3 linked regions of the Anolis sagrei genome follow. The protein of the gene in region 1 purifies or fractionates together with the protein of each later gene. This does not show direct contact. Links are inferred from orthologs where the notes say so. Each region holds a gene or a part of one and is shown on either strand. Other genes may lie near its edges. The genes, in order: CIAO1, CIAO3 and POLE.

Region 1 (10,918 bases):
GACAGGCTATGCCCAGGGAGGAAGTTGAGCCTAGGACTTTTGGATACTGTTACATTTTTTACACATGTTTTAATGTGTATAGCGCTGATATTTTAATCGTGTTATGAAGTGGCATTGTGTTGTTATTGTATATTCTTTGTATGTTAACACATGTTGTGAACCGGTCCGAATCCCTCTTTGAAGGTGAGAGGGTCGGTATATAAAACCTCGAAATAAAAATAATAATAATAAAATAAATAAATAAATTTTTGTTCAGGCTTGAGCTATGCACATGCAGAGAGAAGAGAGAAGCAGAGAGAAACAGATTGATTTGCTTCTTGGCTGCTGAAAGAAGGTTATTTATCTATTTTATTTTGTATAAAAAGCATTGCATAAATTAGTATAAAAGTGATAAAAATAGGTGTACAAGCGGCTAAATATCTTTTGACCAAAAACGGGCAACAGCAATGGCAGTGTCTGTAGCCTCCAACAATTCCTCCTCTGTACATGAGACAGGGCACAATGGACAAGCGTACAGATGCAGAGTTGTCTGTTCTGCTCCACAGTCACACAAGGTATGGGATTCTTTTAGGTAGTGCCATTTGGCCAGGTTGTCTTTTGATCTGCCCAATCCGCTTCTGAGTGTATTTAAGGACTTCCAGGTTGCCCACTGTTTGTTTGCCCCTGGAGGAAGACCCTCATGGGGGGCCATCCAGTTGGGATTTCCTGATTTAGCTGCCCAGAGGGATACCCTTGCTGTTGCTGGAGGGATGCCAAGAGGAGTGGTAGTTCTCATAAAGCTTTTCCTAGATTTGAGACTGCTGGGAGGAGGCTAGTAGCCATGTAGTGGATGGCTTTCAGTGTTCAACCTTATTTCTCTCACATTTAGTAGCAACTTCCCATCGCACATTGGGGGGGGGGGGGGGGGGGCAATGCCAGCTAGCTTGTAGAGTTTATCAACAGGTGTAGGTTTAAGACATCCTGTGATTATTCTGCATGTTTCATTCAATGCTATGTTCACCTGTTTTGTGTAGGCAGACCTATGCCAGACAGGGCAGACATACTTGGCAGGTACTTTGTGCTTGGTGTTCAAGCAGTGTTTCCTATATGCTAGTGTTCGATCTAAGGTGACACCAAGATATTTAGGATGGAAACAATGTTCAAGAAAGGTTACTCATATGGACACAGAAAGGGCCATTTTGAATTTCTCATAGAAGGACAATATGTGAGTTGGTGAACCTGATCATACTGTACACATGTTGTATGAACCTGATCATACTGTACACATGTTGTTCACTACTTGTTCTTCAATGTTCATATGCATGGCATATTTTCTTTCTCTGGCAAGGTAGTGTGTGGGCTGATCCAACATGAAGTACACTTGGTTTATTTTACATTACGCCACATCTTGTTCGCAATCTGGGGACTGCCTATATTGTTATTACCCTTAAAATATTGTGCTGTTTTTCCAAAGATTGCTTCAAATGTTCATTTTAAAGCTCACCCCATCCCCCATGTCCCTCTCACCTTTGAGTAACTCGGGGTCAACGTATCCGAGCACATCAGCGACGCCCAGCTCCTGGCGCGCGCAAGTGCCCCCATGAATCCGTAGCCAGGCAGGCTCCGCCAGTGCAGTGCAAAGGGCAGTGATGGAGAGTGCGCCAGGCAAAGCCGAAGCCAGGCTCCTCTCCGGCTGCTTTGGCAAGGTGCTCCCATCCTGGCCTCTCCGCCGGCGCCCACCAGGCAGCACCGAGCCACTAGGGGTGTACATGGGGCCAGACGCTCCCTTCCGAGATCAAGGCAAAGAGTCTAAAGACACACGATTGTGTCCAGAAGGAATTGAGATGACAACGAGGCCTTCAGCGAGATCTTGTCAATGCGTTTGGGTCCAGGTCCGGAGAAAGCTGAAGGCCTGCAGACATAACAGATTGTTAAATTGAGAAGGCAATGAGCTAAATGTGAATTTAAAAGAATGTGAACCTTTACCAAAGTAGAGAAATTGTTCATATGAATATTACTCATCTATATATATAAAAATGCTCTGTGCGTAATGAGTACCTTAAAAACAAAAGAACCAATGCACGAAATCACACCAAATTTGGCAACAAAAGGTCTCACAACACAAGGAGTGACCATCACTCTAAAAATTATGATTTTGTCATTTGGGAGTTGTAGTTGCTGGGATTTATTGTTCACCTAAAATCAAAGAAAACTCTGAACTCCACCAACAATGGAATTGAACCAAACTTGGCACACAGAACTCCCATGAAACAACAGAAAATACTGGAAGGGTTTGGTGGGCGTGACCTTGAGTTTTGGAGTTGCAGTTCACCTACATCCAGACAGCACTTTAGACTCAAACAATGATGGATATGATTCAAACTTGGCACGAATACTCAAGTGTAAACACTGGTGGAGTTTGAGGAAAATAGACCTTGACATTTGAGAGTTGTATTTGCTGGGATTTATAGTTCACCTACAATCAAAGAGCATTCTGAACCCCACCAATGATAGAATTGGGCCAAACTTTCCATACAGAACCCCCATGACAAACAGAAAATACTGTGATTTCTGGTGGTCTTCTGAGACCCTTCTGAGACCCCCTCACAACCCCCCCCCAGGGGTCCCGACCACCAGATTGAGAAATGCTGTCTAAAGGCCATCCAGTCCAACACCTTTCCCCAGGGCAAGAAAACATAATCAAAACCCTCCTGAGAGTCATCCAGTCTAGATATAGATAAATAGATATGATTCACACACACACACATATGCCAGATATAGTATCATAGATTTCAAAGGGAACTCTAAAGAAGGATAATGATATGTTGCATGTTCTAGAGTAAGCAAACCAGATAATCTCTACATCAACACTGACAAGAAATACTGTTTACTCACAAGCCAATAGTATTTTCCAGGTCATCAGAATGGGCCACAGCAATGCGTGGCAGGGGGCAGCTAGTGTTTATATAAAAATTTTAAGTACAGGCAGTCCCCGATTCACAAGCATCTGGCTTACAAATGACTCCTAGGTAAGAACGAGGCTGAGATGACAGGAAATGAGAAGAATCTGCCCCTCGAGGGAAGGGAAATTCACTCTTGGAAGAGTTAATATCTTGGGGGAAATGGGTTTCCACTGAAGTTTATCTCCAATCCTTGTTTCCATAACAAGCCAATTTTCCCAAAAACCAATGTTCCCAGGGACAGAAAGTGAGGTGACATAGAATCATAGAGTTGGAAGAGACCCCAAGGGCCATCTAGTCCAAACCCCTGCCATGCAGGAAAAGCACAATCGAGGTACCCTTGACAGATGGCCATTCAGCCTCTGTTTAAAAGCTTCCAAGGAAGGACCTTCCACCAGACTCCGAGATAGGGTTCCACTGCTGAACAGCTCGCATGGTCAGGAAATTCTTCCACATGTTCAGGTGGAATCTCTTCTCATGTAATTTGAATCCAATGTTCAAACCCTAGTCTGCAGGGCAGCAGAAAACAAGCATCTCCCTCTCTCTCAGGACATCCTTTTACATATTTATACATGCCTATCATGTCTCCAGGACCCCCTGGTGACACAGCAGGTTAAACTGCTGAGCTGCTGAACTTGCTGACTGAAACGTTGGCGGTTCGAATCTGGGGAGTGGGGTGAGTTTCCACTGTTGGCCCCAGCTTCAACCTTAGCAGTTTGAAAACATGCAAATGTAAGTAGATTAATAGGTACCGCTCTGGAGAGAAAGTAGCAGCACTCCATGCATTCATGCTGGCCATATAACCTTGGAGGCACCTACGGACAACGTCAGCTCTTTGGCTTAGAGATGGAGATGAGCACCAACCCCAGAGTCAGACACAACTAAATTTCATGTCAAGGAAAAACATTTACCTTTACTACCATGTCTCCTCTCAACCTTCTCTTCTGAGGCTAAACAGACCCAGTTTTTTAAGACCTCCCAGGAATTATTCATGGTCTCCAGACCTTTGATGGTTTTAGTTGCCTTCCTCTGGACACCTTCCAACTTAGAGGCAATATGTCTTTAAAATTGTGCTGCCCAGAACTGGACGCAGTGTTATTTCAGGTAAAGAGGTCTGACCAAAGCTGAATATTACCTCCCTGGATCTAGACACTATACTCCTTTTGATGCAATCCAAAATCCCATTAGCTTTTATAGCTGCTGCATCTCATGTTCATCTTGTTCTCCACAAAGACTCCAAGATCTTTCTCATGTGGGCTGTTGTTGAGCCAGGTGTCACACATCCTATATCTTTGCTTTTGATTTTTCCTGCCTAAATGTCGTATCTTACATTTGTCTTTGTTGAAATGTATTGCGTTAGCTTTGGCCAAATGGCTCTCTCATATGTTAAGATTCTTTTACATCCTGATCCTGTCCTCTGGAGTATTAGCTTTCCCTCCTAATTTGGTCCCATCTGCAAACTTGATAAGAAGCATGCTCTCTACCTCGCCTCTTGGTGCTGAAATGTCCACTATGCTTGGATACTGGTTGTTGCATGATTAATTATGTTTTTATGACGTTGTATATGTATTTGCATTTTTATTGTGTATATTTTAACTCTATTTGACTGGGCTTGGTCCCTATGTAAGCTGTCCAAAGTCCCTTCAGGGAGACAAATAAATAAAACACAGAGGTATAAAAACAGCAGCCTTAAAACTTACTAACATAATACACAACAAAAAAAACCAATAGGAGAATTACTAAGATGGGGATGATCAGATTATAAAAGGAACAGGCATGGAATAGTTTAAAATAGGGGATTGGAAGAAGTGCAGAGAATCTTTGTCCATGTCCTTAATGAAGATCCTGAACAGAACTGGGCCCAGGACAGAGCCCTCTTCATGGCATGCAAATAGTCACCTCTTTGAGTTGTTGTAGGTTTTTTGGGCTATATGGCTATGTTCTAGAAGCATTCTCTCCCGACGTTTCACCCACATCTATGGCAGGCATCCTCAGAGATTGTGAGGTCTGTTGGAAACTAAATAAGAGAGGTTTATATATCTGTGGAATGATGTCCAGAGTGGGAGAAAGGACTCTTGTTGTTGGGGCTAGGTATGAATGTTTCAATTGGCCACCTTCATTAGCATTTGATGTCCTGGCAGTTTTTAGGTGTGGCTTGTTACTGCCTAGGGGAATCCGTTGTTGAGAGGTGATTAGCTGTTCCTGATTGTTTCTTGTCTGAAGTTCCCTTCAATTGTGGTGCCCAGAATTGGACACAATATTCCAGGTGTGGTCTAACCAAGGCGGAATAGAGGTGTAGCATGACTTCCCTAGATCTAGACACTATGCTCCTATTGATGCAGGACAAAATCCCATTGGCTTTTTTTGCTGCCACATGACATTGTTGGCTCAGGTTTAACTTGTTGTCCACGAGGACTCCAAGATCTTTTTCATGGTTGGAGTTTTTATATTTTAACTATCTGTGTGTGTAGGTTTTCTGTCAACCGTATGGCCCAATTGTTGATCTGGATGACTAGAACTTCTAGAAAAGGCCCCTTTCCTCTATTTTCTTTTTTCATGGTGAACTGGATGTTTGGGTGGATGCTGTTGAGGTGGTCTAGGAACCTGTTTACTTCTTCTCCTCCATGGCTCCAAATGGTGAAGGTGTCATCCACATATCTGCCAGAGCTTTAATGGTGCTTCTTTTTTTGAGGGTGAAGATGAGGAACCGCCTGAACATCTTCTAAACTGGGGCACCGGCAACAAAGGAAACCCCATTGGGATGGGATGTTGACCTTTCCTCCAAGCTAGTCTCTCCCATGACCCACACACACCAGTTAGAGCGGTATCAAACAGGTATAATAATCAAGCCGGGAAAGGAATGGGGCCTAGAAGCCTCTCAAAGGGGCCTCGAGTGGAAGAGGCCCCGCCCGGCTCCTCTCCTCCCATCTCCCTCCTTCCCACTCCAGAGCCTCACCTCGGTCCCTCCGCCGCCTCAGGGGCCTCGAAGCCCGGCCATGGGGGCCCCTCACCGCTCTCTTTCTCCCTCAACCCGGCCCTTCCGGTCCCGACGAGCCCAACGAGCGCTTCCGTTTCCGCCTTCCGCGGATCGAGCGTGCGTGTGACGTCAACACGCCGTGCGTCAGGGAGAAAGAAAGCCGACTCTGGCGTCGTGACGTCACGCAGCCTGTTGTTCATAGACTCATAGAAATAGATTGTTACCCCGTTTTCTCTCTCCATGCCGAGACTTAAAGCTTTTCACAGTGGAAAACATTGCAATGCAACTTCAAATATACAAATATCAAAAAAGTATTATGATTATTATATATTATCAGTATTATTATACTTAGTATTATAGGGGACAGGTCCCCTTAAATCGGGATTTTTCCCCCCGCGCAAAGCTTCTTGGGAGTTGTCGTTTCTCCGCCACGAATAACAACAGCGACGGGTGGGAAAAGAAACTACCAATCCCGAAAGGCATAGCGGCGGGCGCTCTTTTGGCTTCTCTCCGAGGCTGCGCAGGCGCAGAGAAAGCCTCAGCCTACACACAGGTAGGAAGTGGTGGATAACTTCTCTGGGCGACTCCTGGGATTCCATAGCGTTGAACCATGGCAGTTAAAGTGGGATCAAACTGTATTAATTCCGTAGTATAGATGCAGCCTTGGCGCTCAGGCTTTAATAATATAATAACAATATAATATAATAATATATGATAACAATATTATTTTAGATGGAGCCTTAGATCTCACAGCTGTCAGGCTTTAATAATAATAATAATAATAATAATTATTATTATTATTATTATTATTATTATAAAGTGAAGAGAGAAGGGCCAGGAAAGCAGTTCCACGTTGTCTTCTGTGCTATACTAATAATATAATGTAATAGTGTATAATATATTGTATATACATATATTTATAATATTATAATGTAATACAATATAATACTACTAATAATACAATATTTTATATATATATATATAAATAACATGTAATATTACTTTTTGTCGTGTCAGGAGCGACCTGAGAAACTGCAAGTCGCTTCTGGTGTGAGAGAATTGGCCGTCTGCAAGGACGTTGCCCAGGGGACGCCCGGATGATTTGTTTTATCATCCTTGTGGGAGGCTTCTCTCATGTCCCTGCATGAAGAGCTGGAGCTGATAGAGGGAGCTCATCCGCCTCTCCCCGGATTTGAACCTGCGACCTGTCGGTCTTCAATCCTGCCAGCACAGGGGTTTAACCCACTGCGCCACCGGGGGCTCCATGTAATATTATGCTAATAATATCATATACTAGCCATCCCCTGCCACGCATTGCTGTGGCCCGGTCTGTTGATCTGGAAAATAAAGTAATGAGAAAGTGTTCGTTTCTAATATATGTAATTTCTTTCTGCTTGTGAGTAAACAGTATTTCTTGCTGTTTCTTTGTCAGTGTTGATGTGGAGAGTGTCTGGTTTGCCTACTCTGGAACATGCAACATATAATTGTCCTCCTTCAGGAGTTCTCTGTGCATGTGTGTGAATCATATCTATCTATATCTATGGCTGCATGACTCTTTGTCAGGAGGGCTTTGATTATGTTTTCTTGCCCTGATGAAGGGAGTTGGATTGGATGGCCTTAAGTATTTTCTGTTGGTCGTGGGGGTTCTGTGTGGGAAGTTTGGCCCAATTCTGTCATTCGTGGGTTTCAGAATGCTCTTTGATTTTAGGTGAACTGTGAATCCCAGTGACTACAACTCCCAAATGTCAAGGTCTATTTCCCCCAAACTCCATCTGTGTTCGTATTTGGGCGTATTGAGTGCTTGTGCCAAGTTTGGTCCAGATCCATCATTCAGTCCACAGTGCTCTCTGGATGTAGGTGAACTACAACTCCCAAACTCCAGGTCAATGCCCATCAAACCCTTCCAGTATTTTCTGTTGGTCAAGGGAGTTCTGTGTGCCAAGTTTGGTTCAATTCCATCAAGTTCAGAATGCTCTTTGATTGTAGGTGAACTATAAATCCCAGCAACTACAACTCCCAAATGACAAAATCATATTTTTTTTGAGTGATGGTCACTCCTTGTGTTGTGACACATTTTGTTGCCAAATTTGGTGTGATTTCGTTCATTGGTTCTTTTGTTTTTAAGGAACTCATTATGCACTGAGCATTTTTATAGATATAGATAATAATATAATTATTATAAAAATAACATTATAGAATATTATAAAAAAAATAAAAGTGAAGAGAGAAGGGCCAGGAAAGCAGTTCCACCTTGTCTTCTGTGCTATAATATTATAATGTAATACAATATAATACCAATACTAATAATATATATAACATATTACTAATAATATTACAATATAATGGTGTAGTACAATATAGTAAGATATAATACTGATATTGTGCTAAACTAATAATATAATATATTGTATGTGTATATGTCTAGTACACCACTCTGAGTCCCCTTCGGAGTGAGAAGGGTGGCATATAAATGTTGCTCTGCATCTCATGGTGCAAGAGCGTAGTCTATTCAGCACCTTCCAAGTCACCCAGTTTTCTGTGTGCCTGTTAGGGAGTCTCTCATTTGGTATCAGCCATTAATTGAGGTTCTGGGTTTGAGCCTGCCACTTTTGGACTCTTGCTTGCTGAGGTGTTCCAGCAAGTGTCTCTGTAGATCTTAGGAAGCTATTTCTTAATTTAAGGCATTGGTGTGCTGGCTAATATCCGAACAGAGGATGGGCCAGAGATGTCACTGCCTTGGTCCTTTCAATATTGCCTTCTACTTCTCGGCGGATGTCAAGTGATGCAATACTAGCTAAACAGTATAATTTCTCCAGTTGTGTGGGGCTAGAAATCTTGTGATAATGCAGCGTTTCTAGCACCCACTTTTTGCTTGATATTCAAGCAGTGCTTCTTGTAAGTCACAGCACACTCCAGAATGACTCCCAGGTCTTTTGGTGTGCTGCAGTTCTTCAGTGGGATTCCTTCCCAGGTCATCCGCAGAGCTTGAGATGCTTGTCTATTCTTAAGGTGAAAAGCAGACCACTGCATTTTAGATGGATTAGAAATCAGCTGGTTTTCCCTGTAATAGGCAGTAAGAGCACCTAAAGCTTAAGAGAGCTCCTGTTCAGCCATTTCAAAGCTCCCTGCTTGGGCGGTGATGGCACAGTCATCAGCATAGATGAAACTGCCTGTCCCTTCTGGCAGAGGCTGATCATTTGTGTAAATGTTGAACATGGATGGAGCAAGCACGCTGCCCTGAGGCAGGCAATTCTTCTGTTTCCGCCATCTGCTTCTCTGGCCCTGGAACTCAACAAAAAAGCTCCTGTTTTGTAGCATGTTTCTTATGAGGCGGGTGAGGTGGTCATCCTTTGTGATATTATACATTTTTCTCAGGAGGAGGCGGTGGTTTACGGTATCATAAGCCGCTGACAGGTCTATGAAGACAGCTCCTGTGATCTGCTGCCGTTCAAAGCCATCCTCTATGTGCTGAGTCAGGTTCAGCACTTACGATGTGCAGCTTTTGCCTTTCCTGAAGCCAGCTTGCTGTGGAATCAGACATGGGTCTATTTTTTCCATAATTCTATGCAAAATAAGTCTCTCCAGAACTTTGTAAAGATGGCATGACAAGGAGATTGGTCTATAGCTTTCTATCATTGCAGTCTTTGCCTGGTTTCAAGATGGCTATGACTCTTGCTTTCCTCCAGATTTTGGGGATCTCACAGGATGCAGTGCAGTTGTTCATCAGTTCCAGCAGCCAGCAAAAGTTCTTGATTTGTTCCATCCGTACATCATCCAGGCCAGCTGCTTTGCCATTTTTACATTTCCTATGAAGTGGGTGGGATGATGGCAATAATGATGTATTATATTTCTTACCCAATTTGAAGAGAGGTGGGGAAGAATAAGAATAATTTTTAATTATTTGTATTTTATTATGATGATATACAACATATTAAACTACAGAGATAAAACCTATACAGTAAGCTTCCAAGTTATGACCCAAATAGGTTCTGTAAGTTTGTTCTTAAGGTGAATTTGTATGTAAGTCAGAACAGAGACATTTCCAAGTGTACAACTGTGAGCTGTATATATATGTGTGTATGGCTTTCACTCTCTTTCTCTCTCTCCTCACACACATACACACACACACACACGCATAGCTGTGAGTGGTGTATATATGAACCACCTGGCCTTGAGTTATGCTCCATCTTTGTACGTTCATCCATTCAGGAAATGTATGACTGACAAGTTGAAACCCTTCTTGGCAATCTCTCGATTCAAATATTTTTAAAATGATGTTTAATTTTTGAAGCAATCTCCTTCCTAGGACCCAGCGCCTCTGTTTGGGGCCGCCATGAAAGATTCCTTGGTGCTCCTGTCCCGCATTGCTGCGCATCCGGACTCCCGCTGCTGGTTCCTGGCCTGGAACCCAACGGGGACCCTCTTGGCTTCCTGCGGAGGGGACCGCAGCATCCGCATCTGGGGCAAAGAAGGTGAGGTTGGAAGAGCAATATAATAATAATAATAATAATAATAATAATGGAAAATGAACACACAAAAATACTGTGGGACTTTCGAATCCAGACTGACAAAGTTTCGGAACACAATACACCAGACATCACAATTGTGGGGGGAGGGGGGGAGTTTGGATTAGCCATATCGGGTGACAGTCGCATTGAGGAAAAACAACAGGAAAAACTCAGCTGTTATCAGGACCTCAAAATCTAATTGCAAAGGCTCTGTCATAAACCAGTACAGGGGGTCCCAGTGGTCATCGGCACCCTGCGTGCCATGCCAAAATATCTCAGCCGGCATTTGGAAACAATAAACATTGACAAAATCACGATCTGTCAACTGCAAAAGGACACCTGACTTGGATCTGCGCGCATCATTTGAAAATACATCACACAGTCCTAGACGCTTGAGAAGTGTTCGACTTGTGATTTTGTGATATGAAATCCAGCATAAAGATCACGTTTGTTGTGACATACTGTGTTTTTGTGTCAGTAAAATAATAATAATA
Region 2 (11,106 bases), on another chromosome or scaffold:
ACCACGATTTGAATGTGCTTCTCAGGGAAAAAGATTAGACAATGGCCGTTAATGGGGGCAAAGGGCCCAGTCGGGGCCTGAAGAACCCAAGGTGTCGGGTTAAACTTCAGCCAGAAAGGAATGGCTGGAAGGAGAAGGAATGTGCTGAGCTGTGTTTCTACCAGGCTGTTCTTGTGGTGGAATGATGGTTCTAGGAAAGTTGTTGGTGCCTGGGGAGAAAAATACATTGTTCCAGGCTAATCATCATCATCATCAGCAGCAGCAGCAGCAGCATCATAGTCCCCTCAGGGAGATAGGGCAGATTATAAATAAAGTATGTTTTTCGTGTTGCTGTTGCTGTTGCTGTTGCTGTTGCTGTTGCTGTTGCTGTTGTTGTTGTTGTTGTTGTTGTTATAGTGATACCTGGAACAACGTCAGACATTGAAGCAGAAGCAAAAGCTGCCAGGACCAAATAATGATGATGATGATGATGATGATGCCAGGCATCTAATAAGAAGGAGAAGGAGGATGAGAAGGAGAAGAAGCCTGAAACAATGCCAGGCATCATATAATAATAAGAAGGAGGAGGAGGAGAGGAAGAGGAGGAGGAGGAGGAGGAGGAGAGGAGGAGGAGGAGGAAGAAGAAGAAGAAGAAGAAGAAGAAGAAGAAGAAGAAGCAGCAGAACCAGAAGAAGAAGCAGCAGACTGGAACAATAATAATAAAAGCAGCAGCAGAACCAGGCATCTAATAATAATTATTATTATTATTGTTATTATTCCAGGCATAGAAGAAGAAGAATCCTGAAACAATGCGAGGCACCAAATAATTATTGTTATTTATTTATATTATTTATTATTATTATTATTCCAGGCTTCTAATAAGGAGGAGGAGGAGGAAAGAAGTAGCAGCCTGGAACAATGTCAGGAATTGACATTAATAATGATGATGATGCCAGACATCTAATAATAAAGCAAGCGGAGGAGGAGAAGCCTGGTCCAGTGCCAGGCATCTAATAATGATGATGATGATGGCAGGCATCTAATTATAAGAAGGAGAAGAAGAGGGAAGAGAAGAAGGAGAAGCCTGGACCAATGCCAGGCAAAGAAGAGGAAGAAGAAGAAGAAGAGGAGGAGGAGGAGGAGGAGGAGGAGGAGGAGGAGGAGGAGGAGGAGGAGATGGTAGAATAAGTCTGGAACAATGCCAGACATCTGATGATGCTGATGCCAGGTATCTAATAATAAAGTGGAGGAGGAGGAGGAGAAAAAGCCTGGACCAATGCCAAGCATCTAATAATAATAATAATAATAATAATAATAATAATAATAATAATAATATACTGCTATAGAATCCTGGGGTTTGCAATTTGGTGAGGCAGAGTAGGCTAAAATCCAGGGCTATTTGTCCATTGACTTGAGAGGTTTCCTTTTCCGGACAGAGCAATTGCCTACTTGCAGAAGGGAAATCCTCCTTGATCCTAGATGTGGGTCATGGTCTTAATCCCAGGAAGCTTCCGCAAATACATGCTGCTGCCCGAGGTCAGGGCTCTGTCTTTAGGCCTCAGGTCACTCATTTCTCTCTCCTTGCTGCTTCCTTGCAGAGTCAGGCCCCGCTTGGTCTTGCTGGCCGACAGCGAGGCCGAATCCTCCAGCGCTGGTTCTTCCGAGGAAGAAGACGCCCCTCCTTCAGTGGAGACTTCTTTGGGGGGCCCAGGAGAAAGGGGGGCCCCTCCCGGGATGGAGAGGTAGGCTTGGGATAATACGGGACATTATTATTGCAATGAGTTCCCATTGGGCAGCATCTTCCCAAAAGGGACCTTGGCCAAAATCCTATATCTGTGCCCTTCCCATAAGTGCCAGGAGAGGACAGAAGGGATTTATTTGAATTTAAAACAAACAAATAAAATAAGAACACGATTAAAATACCCATAACAAAAAATGACTCTGAAGATAACAAAAGGTAAGTTTAGAATTCACACTTTAAAATGGACTGCTGGGCTTTGGGGGCTTATATATGCCCTCTGTCTCAATGTGTACATTGTTGTTGTTGATGCAGCCTAGAATTGCGTTGGCCTTTTTAGCGGTCGCATCATGCTCTTGTTCCCTTCCAGCCACCTTGGCGGCCACAGCACCAGCCGGAAGATCCTGCGCTTCGTGGACAAGATTGCCAAGTCCAAGTACTTCCAGAAGGCCACTGAGAATGAGTTCATCAAGAAGAAGATTGAGGAGGTCTCCAACACGCCGCTGCTGTTGACTGTCGAGGTCCAGGAGCTGACGGGGACCTTGACCGTCAACATCCCGCCACCACCTACGGACCGGGTCTGGTACGGAGTCTGGATGGCCATCTGTTGGGGATGCTTGGATTGTGTCTTCCTGGCAGAATGGGTTGGACTGGATGGCTCTTGGGGGTTCCTTTCAACTCTGCAGTTCTATTATTCCATAACCCTATTTCTCCATGAACCTGCTCATGTCAATGAGGCTGAATGGCCACCTGTCGGGAGGAGTTGGATGGTGTCCTGTCTGGCAGAAATGAGTTGGACTGGATGGCCCTTGGGGATCCCTTCCAGCTCATGCAAGAATGTATATCCAGGCTTAAAGGAAATAAATAGGATCCTTTTTCTCTTACCTGGTTCCAGGTATAGCTTCCGCATCCCTCCGCAGCTGGACCTGAAAGTCCGCCCCAAATTGGGAGAACGGGAGGTCACTTTCATCCATGTCACCGAATGGATTGAGAAGAAGCTTCAGCATGAATTCCAGGTACCTGCTTGGTCAAAGTGGATCCTGAAATGGGAAAATAATAATAATAGAAATCCAGCATATAGATCTCATTTGCTGTGACATACTGTGTTTTTGTGTCAGTAAAATAATAATAATAACTCTAGACACTTTGGAAGTGTCCGACATGTGATCCAATACAACAGCCAGCAGAGGATCTTGTCTGCTGTGCACTCATCTTGTAATAATAATAATAATAATAATAATAATAATAATAATAATAGCAGTTTCTACCCAGAGCACACCATAGAACCGTGGTATTTTAAAAATGGAGAGACAACAACAACAACAACAACAACAACAACAACAAGCATTATATGACAGTGTAAACTCTCGTATAATGCAGGTCAAAGCAATTAAATTGCATTATGAAACTGTGTCAAATGGCAGTATAGATGGGGCCCAGGGTTTAATCCTGGGACGATCAGATTCACAAACAGCTTGAAGGCGCACAATAACAACAGGTATGGATCAGGCAATAATAGATATTGCATCAATGATATTACATTTAGGTATTCCTTTTATTTCCTTTCCCAGAAAGTTTTAGTGATGCCAAATATGGACGACCTCATATTACCTCTGATGCACTCTGGACTGGAATCCCAGGCGTTTGGCGATGGATCCCAGAAGGATTCCCATGAAGAAGTGTTGAAGAGCTCTCCAATGGGATCTAAAGCAAGAATTTAATGGGAGACACTGAATTTGGAATCCATCATTTCTTCGGGATGAAGGTGGAATGGGTCAAAGCAAGAGGTTTTCCTGTTTCGCAAGTTGTGCGGAGTTCAGCTGACCCCATCCAGAGGTCAATAGGGAGACACTAAACACCTTCAACTTCTCTAAAATTGCCCCTCTCTCCCCAGCTTGCAGCAGAAGGCTTCCCATCTCAACGCTCTCCATCAAGGATCATGGGCCTCTATGAAACCCCAGCGAAAGGGAGAGCCAATCCCTTTGAATGGCATTGCAGAAGCGGTCCCTCTAGTGGCGGAAGGCGGCTGACTATCCTAGCATGGGATTGGCCCGCCTTACGCAACTCGTGTTCGCAAATTGCTGAAAGAAATCACACTGTGAATCCAAATCCACCTTGGGGTCCTTCAGACTGAACAGAGAGACATTTTGCAGGGAGAATGGGGCAAAATAGCTCACAAGAGCAAGTGGACATTTCAGGGGAGGCCAAGAATGCTTGAAAAAATATGCCATGGTTTTGATTCGAACTCTCTCTCCATATGTGTGTGTGTGTGTGTGTGTGTGTGTATGTATGTATAGAAAGAGAGAATATATGGGATATATCCAGAAATCCTGAGGAGTCCATGAAGGCTTTAAAAATGCTATGGACTTGATCATATAGCTGATATACACACACATATGTGCGTGTGTGTGTAAACAGGATTCGTGGATTGGAAATCCATGAATTCTGATCATAGATATATATGTGTTTGTGTATGTGTGTGTATCCAGAAATCCTGGGGAGTCCATGAATGCTTTAAAAATGCCACACACACATATATGATACATGTGTGTGTGTATGATCAGAATTCATATATATATGAATTCATATATATATGAATATATATATACACACACATATATATATACTGGGGAGTCCATGAATGGTTTAAAAATACCACAATCTTGATCACATATATGATACATGTGTGTGTGTGTGATCAGAATTCATATATATATGTATTTGATGATGAAACTATTTTGATGATGATGATATGTAGATCAGGGGAATCCATGATTTCTGATTCCCTTCTCTTTATATATACATGTATGTATGTAAATACATGTGTGTAGATATATATATAGATATATATATGATCAGATAAATCCATAAATGCTTTAAAGAAAATGCCACAATCTTGATTCAAATACCCTATCCTATATATGGATGGAGAGAGTATTTGAATACACACACATACACACACACACACCCTCAGGATTTAAAAATGCAATTAAAAATTGCAAGCATAAGGTACGAATTCTGCCATTGGAAGTGAAAGAACCCAACTGCAAAGGATAGAGAGAGTAATACGAGTCATAACTGCTATCAGTCCCTTCTGCCTGCCTTTCACCTTCCCACTCGCCTGCCTCCCATTCAAACCTAAGGAGAGGAGAGGGGAAATAACCCATAATATACCAATGCAATCAAAGATGGGACGGGATGGGATGGCACCCAGACAATAGCATGACTTTGGGTAACTCCATGGCGCTGTTCGACCTTCCATGTAATAAGTAATAATAATGTCAAAAAAAAAAAGTAAACAAAGCAATAGCTGATGATACGGTGATGGACTGGCACCGGCCGAACAAAGGGCTTTCTTTGCAAACCTTGGCTAAATTGGGGTTGAAGTTGGAGCAGTTGGAAAGAATAAAAGGTTTGCATCAATATTTTGCATGTCTTGGCTTCTGTGATCCCTTCTTTTCTGTGATCCCCACATGGTTGTGGCACCATGGTGTGCCGGTTGTTAGCCGCCCCGAGTCCCTCTGCGGAGGTCGAGATAGGACAGGATACAAATGTCCGAAATAAATATTCTATATCCAGGCATGGGTAAACTTGGCCCCTCCAGGTGTTTTGGACTACAACTCCCACAATTCCTAACAGCCTACTGGTCCAAAACACCTGGAGGGCCTGGGTTTGCCCATAGCTGATCTATATAATAAAAGTGAATATATGTTCCTATCTATCTTTGTTTGTATTGACCCAGCATTATGGGATTTGTAGTTCACCTGCATTCAGAGATCACTGTGACTCCCACTGATGGTGGATCAGGACCAAATCTGGCACACAGACCCATCACAAGCAACTTTGAATACTGGAGAGTTTGGAAGGAATTCACATTGGATGCTGGGAGTTGTAGTTCACTGACATCCAGAGAGTCTCTCTCTCTCTCATCTATCTATCTATCTATCTATCTATCTATCTTATTCTATCTATCTAGTCAGTCTGTCTGTCTGTCTCTCTCATCTATCTATCTATCTATCTATCTACCTATCTATCTATATCTATCTAACTATCTCTCTCGCATCTCTCTCTCTCAATCTGCCTATCTATCTAGTCTCTTTCTTTCTCTCTCAGCTATCTGTCTATCAAGTCTCTCTCTCATCTATCTATCAAGTCTATTTCATCTATCTGTCTGTCTATCTAGTCTCTCTCATCTGTCAAGTCTATCTCTCTCATCTATCTGTCTGTCTGCCTATCTATCGAGTCTCTCTCGTCTATCTATCTATCTAGTCTGTCTATCTCTCTCAGCTATCTGCCTATCTAGTCTCTCTTTCTCTCAGCTATCTGTCTATCAAGTCTGTCTCTCTTTCATCTATCAAGTCTATCTCATCTATCTGTCTGTGTCTGTCTGTCTATCTATCTATCTATCTCTCATCTATCTATCTGTCTGTCTGTCTATCTAGTCTGTCTATCTCTCTATCTCATCTATCTGCCTATCTATCTAGTCTCTCTCTCAGCTATCTATCAAGTGGTCTCTCTCTCATCTATCAAGTCTATCTCTCTCATTTATCTGTCTATCTATCTAGTCTCTCTCTTATCTATCTATCTATCTATCTATCTATCAAGTCTATCTCATCTATCTTGCTATCTGAGTCTATCTCTCATCTATATATCTGTCTATCTATCTAGTCTGTCTATCTCTCTATCTCATCTATCTGCCTATCTCTCTCTCTCAGCTGTCTATCAAGTCTCTCTCTCTCTCTCATCTATCAAGTCTGTTTATCTTTCTCATCTATCTATCTATCTATCTAGTCTCTCATCTATCTGTCAAGTCTGTCTATCTCTCATCTGTCTCTTTCTCTCAGCTAGTCTCTCATCTATCAAGTCTGTCTTTCTCTCATCTATCTATCTATCTATCTATCTAGTCTCTCATCTATCTATCAAGTCTGTCTCTCTCTTATGTGTCTGTCTACCTATCTTTCTATCTAGTCTCTCTCATCTATCTATCTATCTAGTCTATCTCTCTCATAAATTTGCCTATCTAGTCTGTCTCTCAGGTATGTATCTATCAAGTCTCTCATCTATCTATCTAGTCTGTGTGTCTCTCATCTGTATATCTATCTAGTCTACCTATCTCTCTCTCCCTCTCTTGCATCTATCTATCTATATCTATCTAGTCTCTCTCTCTCTCATCCATCCATTTCAACTCCTCTGCCTACATCTATGTTCTTCCCATCCCTGTCTCTTTCACGACGACACTCCCTTTTGCGACAGCGCGTCCTAGCGCTTTGCGGCGCGTACGCACAGAGGGAGGGCGGACCTGCCCAAGATGGCGTCGCCCTTCAGCGGAGTCCTGCAGCTGACCGACTTGGACGACTTCATCGGACCCTCGCAGGTGAAGGGCGAGTGAACGGGGGGAGTGGGCGACCGTGGCCCCTAAAAGGGGCTCTCCTTGTCCTCTGCCAGAGCTCCTGGAAGCCTTGTCCGCCATTCGAGCTCAATATTTCTGCCAAGCCTCCCATACAGCCCTGCGAGGTAGGACAGTTTGGGGGACAGGCGCCTTGAATGGGCTTCCCTCGGTCCAGAGAAGGAGATACTGGGGAAATCGGTATGATTTTAAGGGAAGTTGAGTATATTGTATATTCTATCCTAAAAGGCTCCCATGAGAGGCTGAGACAGTGTGATCTTGCTGCTGGTTCCTTGCCCATCGTTTGTTTTAATGTGATTTTAACTGACTACTTTTAATAGCTTTTTGGTTTTATAGTTATAACTATAATTCTCTCCCTATATGTTTCATTTTATATTATAATTCAGTATATGTGTATGTTTTCTATCTATGTAATAAAATACAACATACATCTATATATATAATTGTATAACTCTCTGTATATACATATATAATAAAACACACACACACATATCTATCTATATATATATATATATAGAGAGAGAGAGAATAAAACCTGCAACATACAAGCGGTGGCGCAATGGGTTAAACCCTTGTGCCAGCAGGACTGAAGACTGACAGGTCGGATGTTCAAATCTGGGGAGAGTGCAGATGAGCTCCCTCTATCAGCTCCAGCTCCCCATGCAGGGACATGAGAGAAGCCTCCCACAAGGATGGTAAAACATCAAAACATTCAGGCATCCCCTGGGCAACATCCTTGCAGACGGACAATTATCTCACACCAGAAGTGACTTGCAGTTTCACAAGTTGCTCCTGACATGGAAAAAACAACAACTATATATACAATTCTATAATTCTCTCTCTTTATATATATGATAAACCACACACACACATATATATATAGAGAGAGAATAAAACATGCAACATGGGAACGAGGGACAGGGCCTTCTCTGTGGTAGCCCCCCAACTCTGGAACTCTCTCCCCAAGGACATCAGACAAGCCCCAACATTGGCAGTCTTTAGGAAGAGCCTGAAGACCTGGCTGTTCCAGTGTGCCTTTCCAGAATAGGAAACTCCTAGCATCATGTCCCAAATGCACTTTGTTAGAGATTTAGGATTGTCTGTACATTGCACCTACCGCCAAAAACCTCTACATTTCACCTGTCATGTCCAACACTTTTTAAATTGTCCATTACATTTGGCCCAGCCTTAGGTTTTAAATGCATCATGGTGTCATTGTTTTTAGTGTTTTATTGTTTTGCTTGATGTTTTATTATTTGCTTTATTAGTTTTATTGTTGTATTTGTATGCTGTTGTTTTGTTGGTGGCCGTGGCCTTTGTAAGCCGCATCGAGTCCTTCGGGAGATGTTAGCGGGGTATAAATAAAGTTAATAAATAAATAAATAAATAAATATAATTGCATAAAACATATGTCAAGAGAGAGAAAGAGAGAGAATATAACATGCAACACACACACACACATATAATTGCATAATTTTATATATATTTAATAAAACATATATATATAGAGAGAGAGAATAAAACATGCAACATACAAACATATATATTTGTATAATTTATATATATTTAATAAAACACACACACATATATAGAGAGAATAAAACATGCAACATAAAACTATATACACAATTCTATAATTCTCTCTATATACATATATAATAAAACATATATATAAAGAGAATAAAACATGCAACATACAGCCATATATATAATTCTATCATTCTCTCTCTCTATATATATAATAGAACACACACACACGTATAGAGAATATAGCATGCAACATACAAATATATATTTAATTCTATAATTATATATACATATATAGTAAAACATATATAGAGAGAATAAAACATATATATAAATAGAGAGAAATAATAAAGCACACACTATACAACTATATATAACTATATATAATTCTATAATTCTTTATACACACATAGAATAAAACAAATATATAGAGAGAATAAAATATAAAACATACAACTATATATATAATTCTACAATTCTCTATATAGGTATATATCTTTTAATATGTGTGTGTGTGTGTAAAACATATATACATATAGAGCATACAACAATTTTTAACAGAAAAAACAGCAGTGTCTATACATTTTAATATTTATATTTTACAGGTTTTAAATTGTGTTGTTATGGATGTGAGCCGCTTTGGGTCTTGATACAGAGAGAAAAATGGATTAGATAAATAATAATAATGCATGTTTCCTCAACCTCAGTGTGTATGCAATCATAATAATGTAATCATATAAATTATTGTTGCTGTAGTAAGCTTACTCAGCCTGTGTTTGTATATAGTAAAGGTAAAGGTTTTCAATGTATTGTCGAAGGCTTTTACAACAACCCAGTAAAGGTTTTCCCCTGACATTAAATGAAGTCTTCTCTGACTGTGGGGATTGGTGCTTATCTCCATTTCTAAGCTGAAGAGCCAGCGTTGTCCGTAGACACCTCCAAGGTCATGTGGCCAGCAAACTTAATGGAGCGCTGTTACCTTCCATATTACCATATATATGTCATGTATATATATATGTCATGTATATATGTCATGATAAGTCAACCAAACCTCACATGCAGGTTCTTTCTGCTTAATTCTTGGGCTTGTATTTTGCCTTATTGGCCTCATTCATTGCTGTCCTGCCTTGGTCTCTTTCAGGACTGCATCAAACCCATCAAAGTAGACAAGAAGCCTGGAAAAGCAATCGCTAAGATCCGCATCGAGGACGATGGAACCTACGTCCAAGTGGATCCGGTAATCTGCCCCCCCCCCCTTTCCCCAGTGTAATTGTGTTGCATACTGGACAGTGTTGTATTGATTATCAATAACCAGCTCCCTTTCAGATGACAAGCTATGGAGCCATAAAAATAATAACAACACATCTCCATAAATAAAATGCGGTGTTACAAGGTCTCAGTGTGCTCTGTTTCTTCCTTTCAGGACGGCCGTTCGCGCAAACTGGAGAAGGCCAAGATTACGCTCAATGACTGCTTGGCTTGTAGTGGATGCGTCACTTCGGCCGAAAGCGTCTTGGTTGCACAGCAAAGCCACGAAGAGCTCCTCCGGGTCTTGGACGCCAATAAGGTCTGCGGCAGATGAGGATAACTATGGATGATGGGAGCAGAAGTCCTGGGTGGGTGGAGGGGACAAAGGGCATGGGGTCAAGCCATGGGTGGGCCTTAACCCTGAGAACAAAGTGGTTGGTAAAATGTTTAGGTTTGAATTGTATTGGCTTTACTGGGAACCGCTTTGAGTCTCTTTTTTAGAAAGAAGAAGCTGGATAATCATAATCATAAATTATAATAAATATAAATAGTCATGATAATGGTAACGATTAGAAAAAGAATTGTAATAATAATAAATGGGAATTATTATTATTAATATTTATTTTAATTTTTTAAATAATTATTTTACAGACATTAGATCCTGCTTCCCGGAAGCTGGTGGTAGTTTCTGTCTCGCCTCAATCCAGAGCTTCTTTGGCGGCAAGGTTTCAATTGACTCCTTTGGACACAGCCAAGAAACTGACTGCCTTCTTCAAAAGATTAGGTAAATGAGGTTTTTCCCTTCAATATGGTAGCAAATTCAATAGCCCCAGCTCAGGGCTTGCAAATTCAGGGCAGTTGTGGCTTCTCTTTAATGGAGTCTCTGTACTGGAAATACCGTCTTTTTTTTTCTCCTTTCTTCCATTTTGTTATTGTTGACTTTTTCTCCTAAAAGAGGTGTCAAAAGTACTGCAACTTTAGTTATCTTTGCATCTAGAGGGAGAGTTCAGGCTTCATTTATAAACAACAACAACAACAAAATAATAATAACAATATAATGTAATATTAATTAATTAATTAATTAAACTATTATTATTATTATAAATAATGGAGCCCCTGGTGGCGCAGTGGGTTAAACCCCTGTGCAGGCAGGACTGAAGACAGACAGGTTGCAGGTTTGAATCCCGGGAGAGGCGGATGAGCTCCC
Region 3 (10,224 bases), on another chromosome or scaffold:
CCCAACGGCTTCAAGTATATGTTAAACAACATAGGGGACAGTACTGAACCCTGTGGGACTCCACAGTACAATGGGTGTGGGGTCGAGCAGGAGTCCCCTAGCGACACCTTCTGGGATTGACCCTCGAGGAAGGACTGGAGCCACTGCAGAGCAGTACCCCTGAGGCCCATTTCCACGAGGCGTCCCAGGAGGATACCGTGGTCGATGGTATCGAAGGCCGATGAGAAGTCCAGCAGAACCAACAGGGACACACTCCCCCTGTCTAGTTCCCGGCGAAGATCATCCACTAAGACGATCAAGGCTGTCTCAGTACCATATCCCGGCCTAAAGCCAGACTGCGCCAGATCTAGATAATCTGTGTCTACCAGGAACTCCTGGAGTTGCGAGGCCACCACACGTTCCAGGAACATGCTCAAATAGGGGAGATTGGAGACTGGCTGGAAGTTGACGAATTGAGTGGGGTCCAGTGATGGTTTTTTCAACAGTGGTTTTATAACAGCTTGTTTTAAGCTGGCTGGAATGTTGCCTTCCCGAAGGGAGGCATTAACCACCACCTTTACCCACTCTGCCAAACCCCCTCTGGCTTCCTTTACCAGCCAGGATGGGCAGGGGTCTAGGATGCATGTGGTAGGCCTCGCCTCCCCAAGAATCCTGATGACATCCTCGAGTTGAACAGATCGAAATGAATCCATCAAAACTGGACAAGCAGATGCTCATGTTACATCCTCAGAGACTGCCGTTAATGTGGTGTCAAAGCCCGAACGGATTGAAGCGACTTTGTCTACAAAGTACTGAGCTTCACAGCGAGCTGCTGAGTCGTCAGGGGACCCATCCTGAGAGGTGGGGTTCAACAGCCCTCTGACTACTCGAAACAGCTCTGCCGGATGGTTCCTTGCAGATGCAATATTAGCCGAATAGAAGGAATTTTGTGTGGCCTCTATTGCCATGCCATACGCCCTTAAGTAAAGGCATAGGCGTGTTCGGTTTGACTCGCTCGGTTCTTTCCGCCACACGCTCTCTAGCCACCTCTTTGTTCGCTTCATCTCTACCAACTCCTCGTTGAACCAAGGAGATGGTTTAGCTCGGCTACTTAAGAGGGGGCACTCCGGAGCAATCGTGTCTATTGCCCTAGTCAACTCATTATTCCAATGGGAGACCAGAGCATCAACAGAATCACCAACCGAGGAGACGGAAAAAATCCCCAAGAGTCGTCAGGAATCCCTCTGGATCCCTAAGCCTCCTGGGGCGGACCATCTTAATGGGTCCACCACCCCTGCGGAGGTTGGGAGCTGCAGAAAGTCTAAACCTGATCAGGTGGTGGTCGGTCCATGGCAAAGGAGTGATTGACAGCTCCTCCACACCGCCACCCTCTTCCCAACCCTGACAGAAAACCAAGTCAAGTGTGTGTCCAGCACAGTGGGTAGGGCCAGATACTAGCTGGGACAGCCCCATAGTTGCCATGGTGGCCATGAAGTCCTGAGCCGCCCCAGAAAGGGTGGTCTCTGCATGGACATTGAAGTCCCCCAGCACTATAAGCCGCTGGGACTCCAATGCCAGGCCTGAGACCAACCCTGCAAGCTCAGGTAGGGCGGCTGTGGTGCAGCGGGGTGGTCGGTACACCAACAGCATCCCTATTCTGTCCCGGCCTCCTAACCTTAGGTGGACATATTCAAACATGGTTGACTGTAAGGCAGGGCCCCTGATTAAGGAGATGGAATCTTTATAGACTATTGCAACTCTGCCTCCCCGCCCCCCAGATCTTGGTTGGTGCTGCACAGAGTAGCCTGGTGGGCAAAGCTGGGTGAAATTAACCCCTCCAGCTTCGTCCAACCAGGTCTCTGTGATGCATGCCAGATCTGCCTTTTCATCGAGGATTAAGTCCTGGATGGTTGATGTCTTACCATTGACAGACCTGGCGTTCAACAGCACCACCTTTAATCCGGGAGGGCCATCTACCTTGGTACCCAAGTTTACCATATCGGGAGAACATTTTGGAAATTTCCTCAGGATTTGCTCACGAATTGGCTGAATTGGTTTTTTAACTCTCCCTTTCCCGTATCTCCCCCTCCCCATCATCACTTCTATTGGGGGCCCCCGAGCAATGGAACCCCCCGTCCCTCCATCCCCTTCCGAACTCCACATCCTGGGAATCTAATATTGTTGTATGGTACATCATATTATTATTATTATTACTATTATTATTTTACTCTATTTATTATTATTGGAAGGATACGTAAGCATATTTACATTAAAGAAGGTTAGAATAATGGTTGAATCAGAGTTGGACAGTCTTATGTTGAATTACAGTTTTATGTAAATATTCAAAAACATTTAACCAGCTGATGCCTCAATTAATGGTATCTATTTTTATTTTGAAATTGACCCATAAATGCTGCATTTCTCACCCTCGACTTATACTCAAGTCAATCTGTTTTCCCATTTCTTTGTGGTAAAATTAGATGCCTCAGCTTATATTTGGGTTGGCTTATACTCGAGTATATACGGTAATTCCCACTCTAGATTGCAGGGAGATGAATGCATGAGGATAAAGTGAAACAGTTATGAGTCAAACAAGCTGAAAAAAGCCTCAATTGACATAGGGAGTCCATCATATTCATTTCTTATTGAATGGCAGAAAGGGGTTAGATTGGACAATATTTGGAGTTCCCTTCCAACTCTAGGATTCCCCATACATTAAAGGGAGAGGGACAATCATTCACCTGCATAGGAGCATAAGTCAGGTTGATGAACTGGACTGGGGTCAAGACTTTACAGTTCAACTTCAAGGCCCTCCAGTAACTGGATTGCACCCTTTTGAGCAATGTTTCTCAACCTGGGGGTTGGGACCCCTGGGGGGGGGGGTCACAAGGGGGTGTCAGAGGGGTCACCAAAGACCATCAGAAAACACAGTATTTTCTCTTGGTCAAAGTGATATAGAGCACGATTTTAGGGGGCGCTGTCAAGACAGAGGCCAGCAAGACCCAAAAAGAGGATCCGCTATGCCTGGCAAGTAGGGCTGTCCAACCACGGAAAAATTTGTTTCTAAACTCAATTCGTTTTTAGGGGGGTTTTGCGTTTCGATTTTTAAAAGAATTCCGAAATTTTTCTTTAAAAAAGTTCGATATTTACGAAATTTCGGAAATTACGAAACAATAACAAAACAATTACGAAACAATTACGAATCGATTCATTAATGGCGGACACGATCGTGCAATACACTAAAAAAAACCTCCAAGTGGGACAGGGGGAACTTCTGAAGCTTCCCTCTCCCTCTGTTGTTGACTGTTGGTGTGATAATTATATTTTTTTTCACTGATAAAACAAACAGCAACCCTAAAACTTGCACCAGACATGCGGAAATAATAACGAAACGATTTTGAAACAATTTCGAAACGATTTCGAAACAATTACGAAACGAATTGAAAAATTCGTTTCGTTTTTTAGTTGCTCCTGAATGGTTCAATATCGCTTCGTTATCCAAAAAAATAACAAATTAATAACGAATTACGAAATTAACGAACGAAACCGCTCAGCCCTACTGGCGAGACAATAAGCACTAATAAAAGTTTTCCCTGTTTCCTAATAAATCTCACCAGGATGAAGCAAGGCCACCGAAGTTTATTTTCTATTCCAGCTGAAAAGGATGATGACCGCAGTAAGCTGCCAAAGAGCCGACATGCTCCTGAGCAGGAAAATACAGAATATATAGAGCTGTCAAATTCAAATTTCCCACGCCCGCCCCCCAAAGCTGGCTTTGCTGTGATTGATCGTGACGGCGAGGGGTGGATGCGGCTCCTCCAATCAGAGCCCAGGCCCCACTTCGGCCGCTCAGCTAATGAGGTGAGAGGAGGCACGGCGTAAGGAAAACAATGAAGGAATGTCCAGGTGATTGGATTATGAATGGTCCTTCTCAGACCTGAATGACAAGCGATCAAGGATGATAGCTGTAAGCCCTCTAGTCTCTGACCTGACTATTGATACAGAGTTGAAAGAACACCTTCGTCTGGCCCCACAGAGCCAGCTTATTGTCAAAAGATTGGTGATATTGTCATCCTTGTTAAGATCGTTGGATTTTCTTCTAGGGAGGGGAAATGGCTTTGTTGGAAGAAAGAGCGACATCCCCTTCCCCTCGCAGTTGGGGGGAATGTCCTTTGTGTCAAGTGATTACCATGTCCATGAGTCCTCAATTCCTCAGGTGACCTAGTCAAAAAGACCCTCTGAAGCCCAAGGACCTTACTTAAAAATACCCCTCGTAAAATTCAAGGAGATTACTCTTGCAGGGTTTTTTTTTTTTTAAAAAAATGTTGATTATAAAAATGTTGAAAATTTCCCCTAAAATCTATGAATAATTGAAACGTTCTGAAATTTGATGGACTAACAGTGATCAACGTGTTCTACCGTTGTAGCAAGTTTCACTCCAATAGCTTTAAAGAAGAAGGAGCCCCGGAAGTTTCCCCAATTAGAGTAATTATGCACAATTACTATAACGAAATAGTAACGAAATTTCATTACTCTCGTTATATTCACGAATTTTTCACTACCTATACTTCAGAAACAATTTAGAAACGAAATGTCCACGTCCCCGAGTTTTGTAATGACTTTTGGACTTTTTTTTTAATGGACCGCACATCCCTACTGCAAAGGGAGGGTTGTTGTTCATTCGTTCAGTCGTCTCCCGACTCTTTGTGACCTCATGGACCAGCCCATGCCAGAGCTCCCTGTCGGCTGTCACCACCCCCAGCTCCCTCAAGGTCAGTCCAGTCGCTTCAAGGATGCCATCCATCCATCTTGCCCTTGGTCGGCCCCTCTTCCTTTTACCTTTCACTTTCCCCAGCATGATTGTCTTCTCCAGGCTTTGCTGTCTCCTCATGATGTGGCCAAAGTACTTCAACTTTGTCTCTAGTATCCTTCCCTCCAATGAGCAGTCGGGCTTTATTTCCTGGAGGATGGACTGGTTGGATCTTCTTGCAGTCCAAGGCACTCTCAGCACTTTCCACCAACACCACAGCTCAAAAGCACCGATCTTCCTTCGCTCGGCCTTCCCTAAGGTCCAGCTCTCACATCCGTAGGTGACTACAGGGAATACCATGGCTTTGACTAGCCGGATCTTTGTTGCCAGTCTGATGTTTCTACTCTTTACTATTTTATCAAGACTAGACATTGTTCTCCTCCCAAGAAGTAAGCGTCTTCTGATTTCCTGGCCACAGTCTGCATCTGCAGTAATCTTTGTGCCTAGAAATACAAAGTCTGTCACGGCCTCCACATTTTCTCCCTCTATTTCCCAGTTATCAATCATTCTTGTTGCCATAATCTTGGTTTTTTTTATGTTTAGCTGCAACCCGGCTTTTGCGCTTTCTTCTTTCACCTTGATTAGAAGGCTCCTCAGCTCCTCCTCGCTTTCGGCCATCAGAGTGGTGTCATCTGCATATCTGAGGTTGTTAATGTTTCTTCCAGCAATTTTCACCCCAGCTTTGCATTCATCCAGCCCTGCACATCGCATGATGTGTTCTGCATACAAGTTAAAAAGGTTGGGTGAGAGGATGCAGCCTTGCCGTACGCCTTTCCCAATCTTGAACCAGTCTGTTGTTCCGTGGTCAGTTCTGACTGTTGCTACTTGGTCCTTGTACAGATTCCTCAGGAGAGAGGGAAGGTGGCTTGGGATGCCCATCCCACTAAGAACTTGCCACAATTTATTATGATCCACACAGTCAAAGGCTTTAGAATAGTCAATGAAGCAGAAGTAGATGTTTTTCTGAAACTCCCTGCTTTTCTCCATTATCCAGCGGATATTGGCAATTTGGTCTCTTGTTCCTCTACCTTTTCTAAACCCAGCCTGAACATCTGGCAACTCTCGCTCCATGTATTGCTGGAGTCTTCCTTGCAGGATCTTGAGCATTACCTTACTGGCATGAGAAATAAGGGCCACTGTACGGAAGTTGGAGCAGTCTTTTGCATTTCCCTTTTCTGGTATGGGAGGGAGGGAGCCAGTGCAAAACACCCTGTTTGTGGGAGGGGACACGTCAGTTTCCTTTGGAGGCCGGCAGAGGGCGCTTGTCCTCTTCCTTACGGCGCGAATGGGAAGACTGTAGGACGGGTGGGCGGGGCTACTCCCATCTGTTACTTACCGGAGAAAGGAATGTGATTGGCGCGGGGCACGTGGAGGAAGCAACAGTGATCCCGCGAGCGGGAGGATTCTCGCGCGGTTTCCCCTCAGCGCGGGAAAGTGAAGAAGTTTCGAGGATGGCGACGCGGAGAGGCGGTGGGCGGCGCTGGCGAGCGGAGGCTCCCGCCGGAGAAGGCCAAGGAGAGGCGCCAAAGGGGTGAGGGAACCCAGGGCCAGGGTCTTCAGCCGCTTTGAGCATGTGCAGAGGGCCTTCCCGCTAGGGCGGTGTACTCCTGGGCATGTGCAGAGGGCCTTGCCTCCTTTCCCGGCCCCCCCTTCGCGTTTGGGGCTGAGAGAGCGTGACCCTTTGGGTACAAAGTGGGCTTCAGACCAAAATATTGGGGGAAATTTGAATAAAATGCCGTTTAGGGCAATGAAACATCGGTGGGTTTTGTGTTTACATCAATACTAGCGGTTCCCTGCCACACGTTGCTGTGGCCCAGTCTGTTTATCTGGGAAATAAAGTAATGAGAAAGTGTTGGTTTCTAATATATGTAATTCCTTTCTGCTTGTAAATAGGATTTCTTGCTGTTTCATTGTCAGTGTTGATGTGGAGAGTGTCTGGTTTGCCTACTCTGGAACATGCAACATATTATTGTCCTTCTTTAGGGGTCCCTTTCAAATCTTTGATACTGCATCTGTCATACACATATGTGTGTGTGTGTGTGTGAATGGCTGGATGGCCCTTTGTCAGGAGGGATTTGATTATGTTTTCTTGCCCTGGTGAAGGGAGTTGGACTGGATGGCCTTAAGGCAGCATTTCTCAACCTGGGAAGTCAAGACCCTGGGGGGGGGGGGTGTCACCAGGGGGGAGTCAGAAGGGTCCCCAAAGACCACCAGGAAACACAGTATTTCCTGTTGGTCATGGGGGTTCTGTGTGGGATGTTTGGCCCAATAACTACAACTCCCAAATGTCAAGGTCTATTTCCCCCAAACTCCATCTGTGTTTTGTCGAAGGCTTTCATGGCTGGAATCACTAGGTTCTTGTAGGTTTTTTCGGGCTATAGGGCCATGTTCTAGAGGCATTTCTCCTGACGTTTCGCCTGCAACTATGGCAAGCATCCTCAGACCTCACTACCTCTGAGGCTGCTTGCCATAGATGCAGGCGAAACGTCAGGAGAAATGCCTCTAGAACATGGCCCTATAGCCTGAAAAAACCTACAAGAATCCATCTGTGTTTATATTTGGGCATATTGAGTATTCATGCCAAAATTTGTTCCAGATCCATCATTGTTTGAGTCCACAGTGCTCTCTGGATATAGGTGAACTACAACTCCCAAACTCAAGGTCAATGCCCACCAAACCCTTCCAGTATTTTCTGTTGGCCAGGGGAGTTCTGTGTGCCAAGTCTGGTCCAATTCTATCGTTGGTGGAGTTCAGAATGCTCTTTGATTGAAGGTGAACTATAAATCCCAGCAACTACAACTCCCAAATGACAAAATCATAATTTTTTGATTGATGGTCACTCCTTGTGTAGTGAGACGTTTTGTTGGCAAATTTGGTATGATTTCGCTCATTGGTTCTTTTGTTTTTAAGGTACTCATTATGCACAGAGCATTTATATATATAGAGAGAGAGAGAGAGAGAGACTAGCGGTCCCCTGCCACATGTTGCTGTGGCCCAGTCTGGTGTTCTGGAAAACAAAGTAATGAGAAAATATATGTAATTTCTTTCTGCTTGTCGTTAACAGTATTTCTTGCTGTTCCTTTGCCAGTGTTGATGTGGAAATTGTCTGGTTTGCCTATTCTCGAACATGCAACATATCATTGTCCCTTTCAAATACTGTCAGCAAGTTCAGCAGCTTAGCAGTTTAACCCACTGCGCCACAACAAACACACACATATATAACTGATCTGTATGTATGGGTCTCACTTAAGAGAGAACAGCTGCACATAAATAAATATGGTGATAATAGTAATAACAGTAAGCCATGACCCCATGTCCAATATACATATACTCTCTCTGTGTGTGTATAGTAAAGGTAAAGGTTCCCCCTGACATTAAGTCTAGTTGTGTCCAACTCTGTGTATCTTTATATACTAGCTTGGGGGCGCTGCACGGGTTATTTATATGGCTCGCAGTGGTCTCAGGAAGTTAGTGAAGGTACTGCAAGACACATCATCCATGTTGTCCTCCTCCAAAGAGCACCAGGATGTAGAGTGTGTCATGGGGGCTCTGTGTGCCAAGTTTGGTCTTGATCAGTCATTGGCGAGGGTCGCAGTGGTCTCAGGAAGTGAGTGAAGTGACTGCAAGTCCCATCATCCATTGTCAGATTCTTCCAAACCGCACCAGAATGTAGAGTGGGCCATGCAGGCTCTCTGTATTCATTGTGGTCCTGATCCATCATTGTTGGCAGTTGTAATGGTCTTAGGAAGGGAGTACAGGTATTGCAAGTCCCATAGTCCATGGTGCACCCTCCTCTAAACCACACCAGGATGTAGAGTGCGTCATGGAGACTCGGTGTGCCAACTGTGGTCTTTATCGGTAATTGGATGAGGGTTGCAGTGGTCTCAGGAATTGGGGAAAGGTACTGCAAATCCCATAATCCATGGTCCATCCCCCGCTAAACCCCACCAGGGCATAAAGTGGGTCATAAGAGATCTATGTGCCAAGTTTGGTTTTGATCAGTCATTGCATAAAGGGCACAGAGGTCTCAGAAAGTGAGTGATAGTACTGTAAGTCCCATCATCCATGGTCCATCCTCCTCCAAACTGCAGCAGGACGTAGAGTGGGTCATGCGGGCTCTGTGTGCCAAGTTTGGTCTTGATTGGTCATTAGATGAGCGTTGCAGCAGTCTTGGGAAGTGAGTGGAGGTACCTGAAGTCCCATCATCCATGGTCTGCCCTCATTGAAAGTGCACCAGGATGTAGAGTGGGTCATGGGGGCCCTGTGTGCCAAGTTTGGTCTTGATCAGTCATTGGAGAGGGTCTCAGTGGTCTCAGTAAGTGAGTGAAGTGACTGCAAATCCCATCATCCATCTCCAAATTCTTCCAAACCGCACCAGGATGTAGAGTGGGACATGCGGGCTCTCTGTGCAAATTGTAGTCCTGATCCATCATTGTTGGCAGGTCTAATGGTCTCAGGAAGGGAGTGCAGGTATTGCAAGTCCCATCGTCCATGGTGCATCCTCCTCCAAACCGCACCAGGATGTAGAGTGCGTCATAGAGACTCGCTGTGTCAACTTTGGTCTTTATCGGTAATTGGATGAGGGTTGCAGTGGTCTCAGGAATTGAGGAAAGGCACTGCAAGTCCCATAATCCATGTTCCAAACCCCACCAGGGCATAAAGTGGATCATAAGAGATCTATGTGCCAAGTTTGGTTTTGATCAGTCATTGGTTGAAGGTCACAGAGGTCTCAGAAAGTGAGTGATGGTACTGCAAGTCCCATCATCCATGGTCCATCCTCCTCCAAACTGCAGCAGGACGTAGAGTGGGTCATGCGGGCTCTGTGTGCCAAGTTTAGTCTTGATTAGTCTTTGGATGAATGTTGCTATGGTCTCAGGAAGTGAGTGAAGGTACTGCAAGTCCCATCATCCATGGCCCATCCTCCTCCAAACCGCACCAGGATGTAGAGTGCGTCATGGAGACTCGGTGTGCCAACTTTGGTCTTCATCGGTAATTGGATGAGGGTTGCAGTGGTCTCAGGAATTGAGGAAAGGTACTGCAAGTCCCATAATCCATGGTCCATCCCCTGCCAAACCCCACCAGGGCATAAAGTGGGTCATAAGAGATCTATGTGCCAAGTTTGGTCTTGATCAGTCATTAGATGAAGGTCACAGAGGTCTCAGAAAGTGAGTAATGGTACTGCAAGTACCATCATCCATGGCCCATCCTCCTCCAAACCGCACCAGGATGTAGAGTGCGTCATGGAGACTCGGTGTGCCAACTTTGGTCTTTATCGGTAATTGGATGAGGGTTGCAGTGGTCTCAGGAATTGGGGAAAGGTACTGCAAGTCCCATAATCCATGGTCCATCCCCCGCCAAACCTCACCAGGGCATAAAGTGGGTCATAAGAGATCTATGTGCCAAGTTTGGTCTTGATCAGTCATTGGATGAAGGTC

Evidence for each region.
Region 2: the proteins of CIAO1 (region 1) and CIAO3 purify together in Homo sapiens (affinity purification with western blotting; 3 studies listed by BioGRID and IntAct, with this or other methods). This does not show direct contact. The link is inferred for Anolis sagrei from reciprocal best matches to the Homo sapiens genes CIAO1 and CIAO3.
Region 3: the proteins of CIAO1 (region 1) and POLE purify together in Homo sapiens (affinity purification with western blotting; 3 studies listed by BioGRID, with this or other methods). This does not show direct contact. The link is inferred for Anolis sagrei from reciprocal best matches to the Homo sapiens genes CIAO1 and POLE.

What each region holds. Positions count from the first base shown.
Region 1 is NC_090027.1:21,929,229-21,940,146, reverse strand, and holds the start of CIAO1 (probable cytosolic iron-sulfur protein assembly protein CIAO1), read left to right. Parts: upstream 1-6,414; 5' UTR 6,415-6,469; intron 6,470-10,222; 5' UTR 10,223-10,249; coding exon 10,250-10,388; intron 10,389-10,918. Other genes in the region: TMEM127 (transmembrane protein 127), read right to left, coding at 1,507-1,750. UniProt on the Homo sapiens protein: Key component of the cytosolic iron-sulfur protein assembly (CIA) complex, a multiprotein complex that mediates the incorporation of iron-sulfur cluster into extramitochondrial Fe/S proteins.
Region 2 is NC_090034.1:20,514,265-20,525,370, reverse strand, and holds the start of CIAO3 (cytosolic iron-sulfur assembly component 3), read left to right. Parts: upstream 1-6,886; 5' UTR 6,887-7,025; coding exon 7,026-7,091; intron 7,092-9,792; coding exon 9,793-9,888; intron 9,889-10,074; coding exon 10,075-10,218; intron 10,219-10,550; coding exon 10,551-10,683; intron 10,684-11,106. Other genes in the region: testis-expressed protein 2-like, read left to right, coding at 1,578-1,721, 2,088-2,300, 2,613-2,733, 3,289-3,438.
Region 3 is NC_090034.1:47,406,709-47,416,932, forward strand, and holds the start of POLE (DNA polymerase epsilon catalytic subunit A), read left to right. Parts: upstream 1-6,173; 5' UTR 6,174-6,240; coding exon 6,241-6,320; intron 6,321-10,224. UniProt on the Homo sapiens protein: Catalytic component of the DNA polymerase epsilon complex. Participates in chromosomal DNA replication.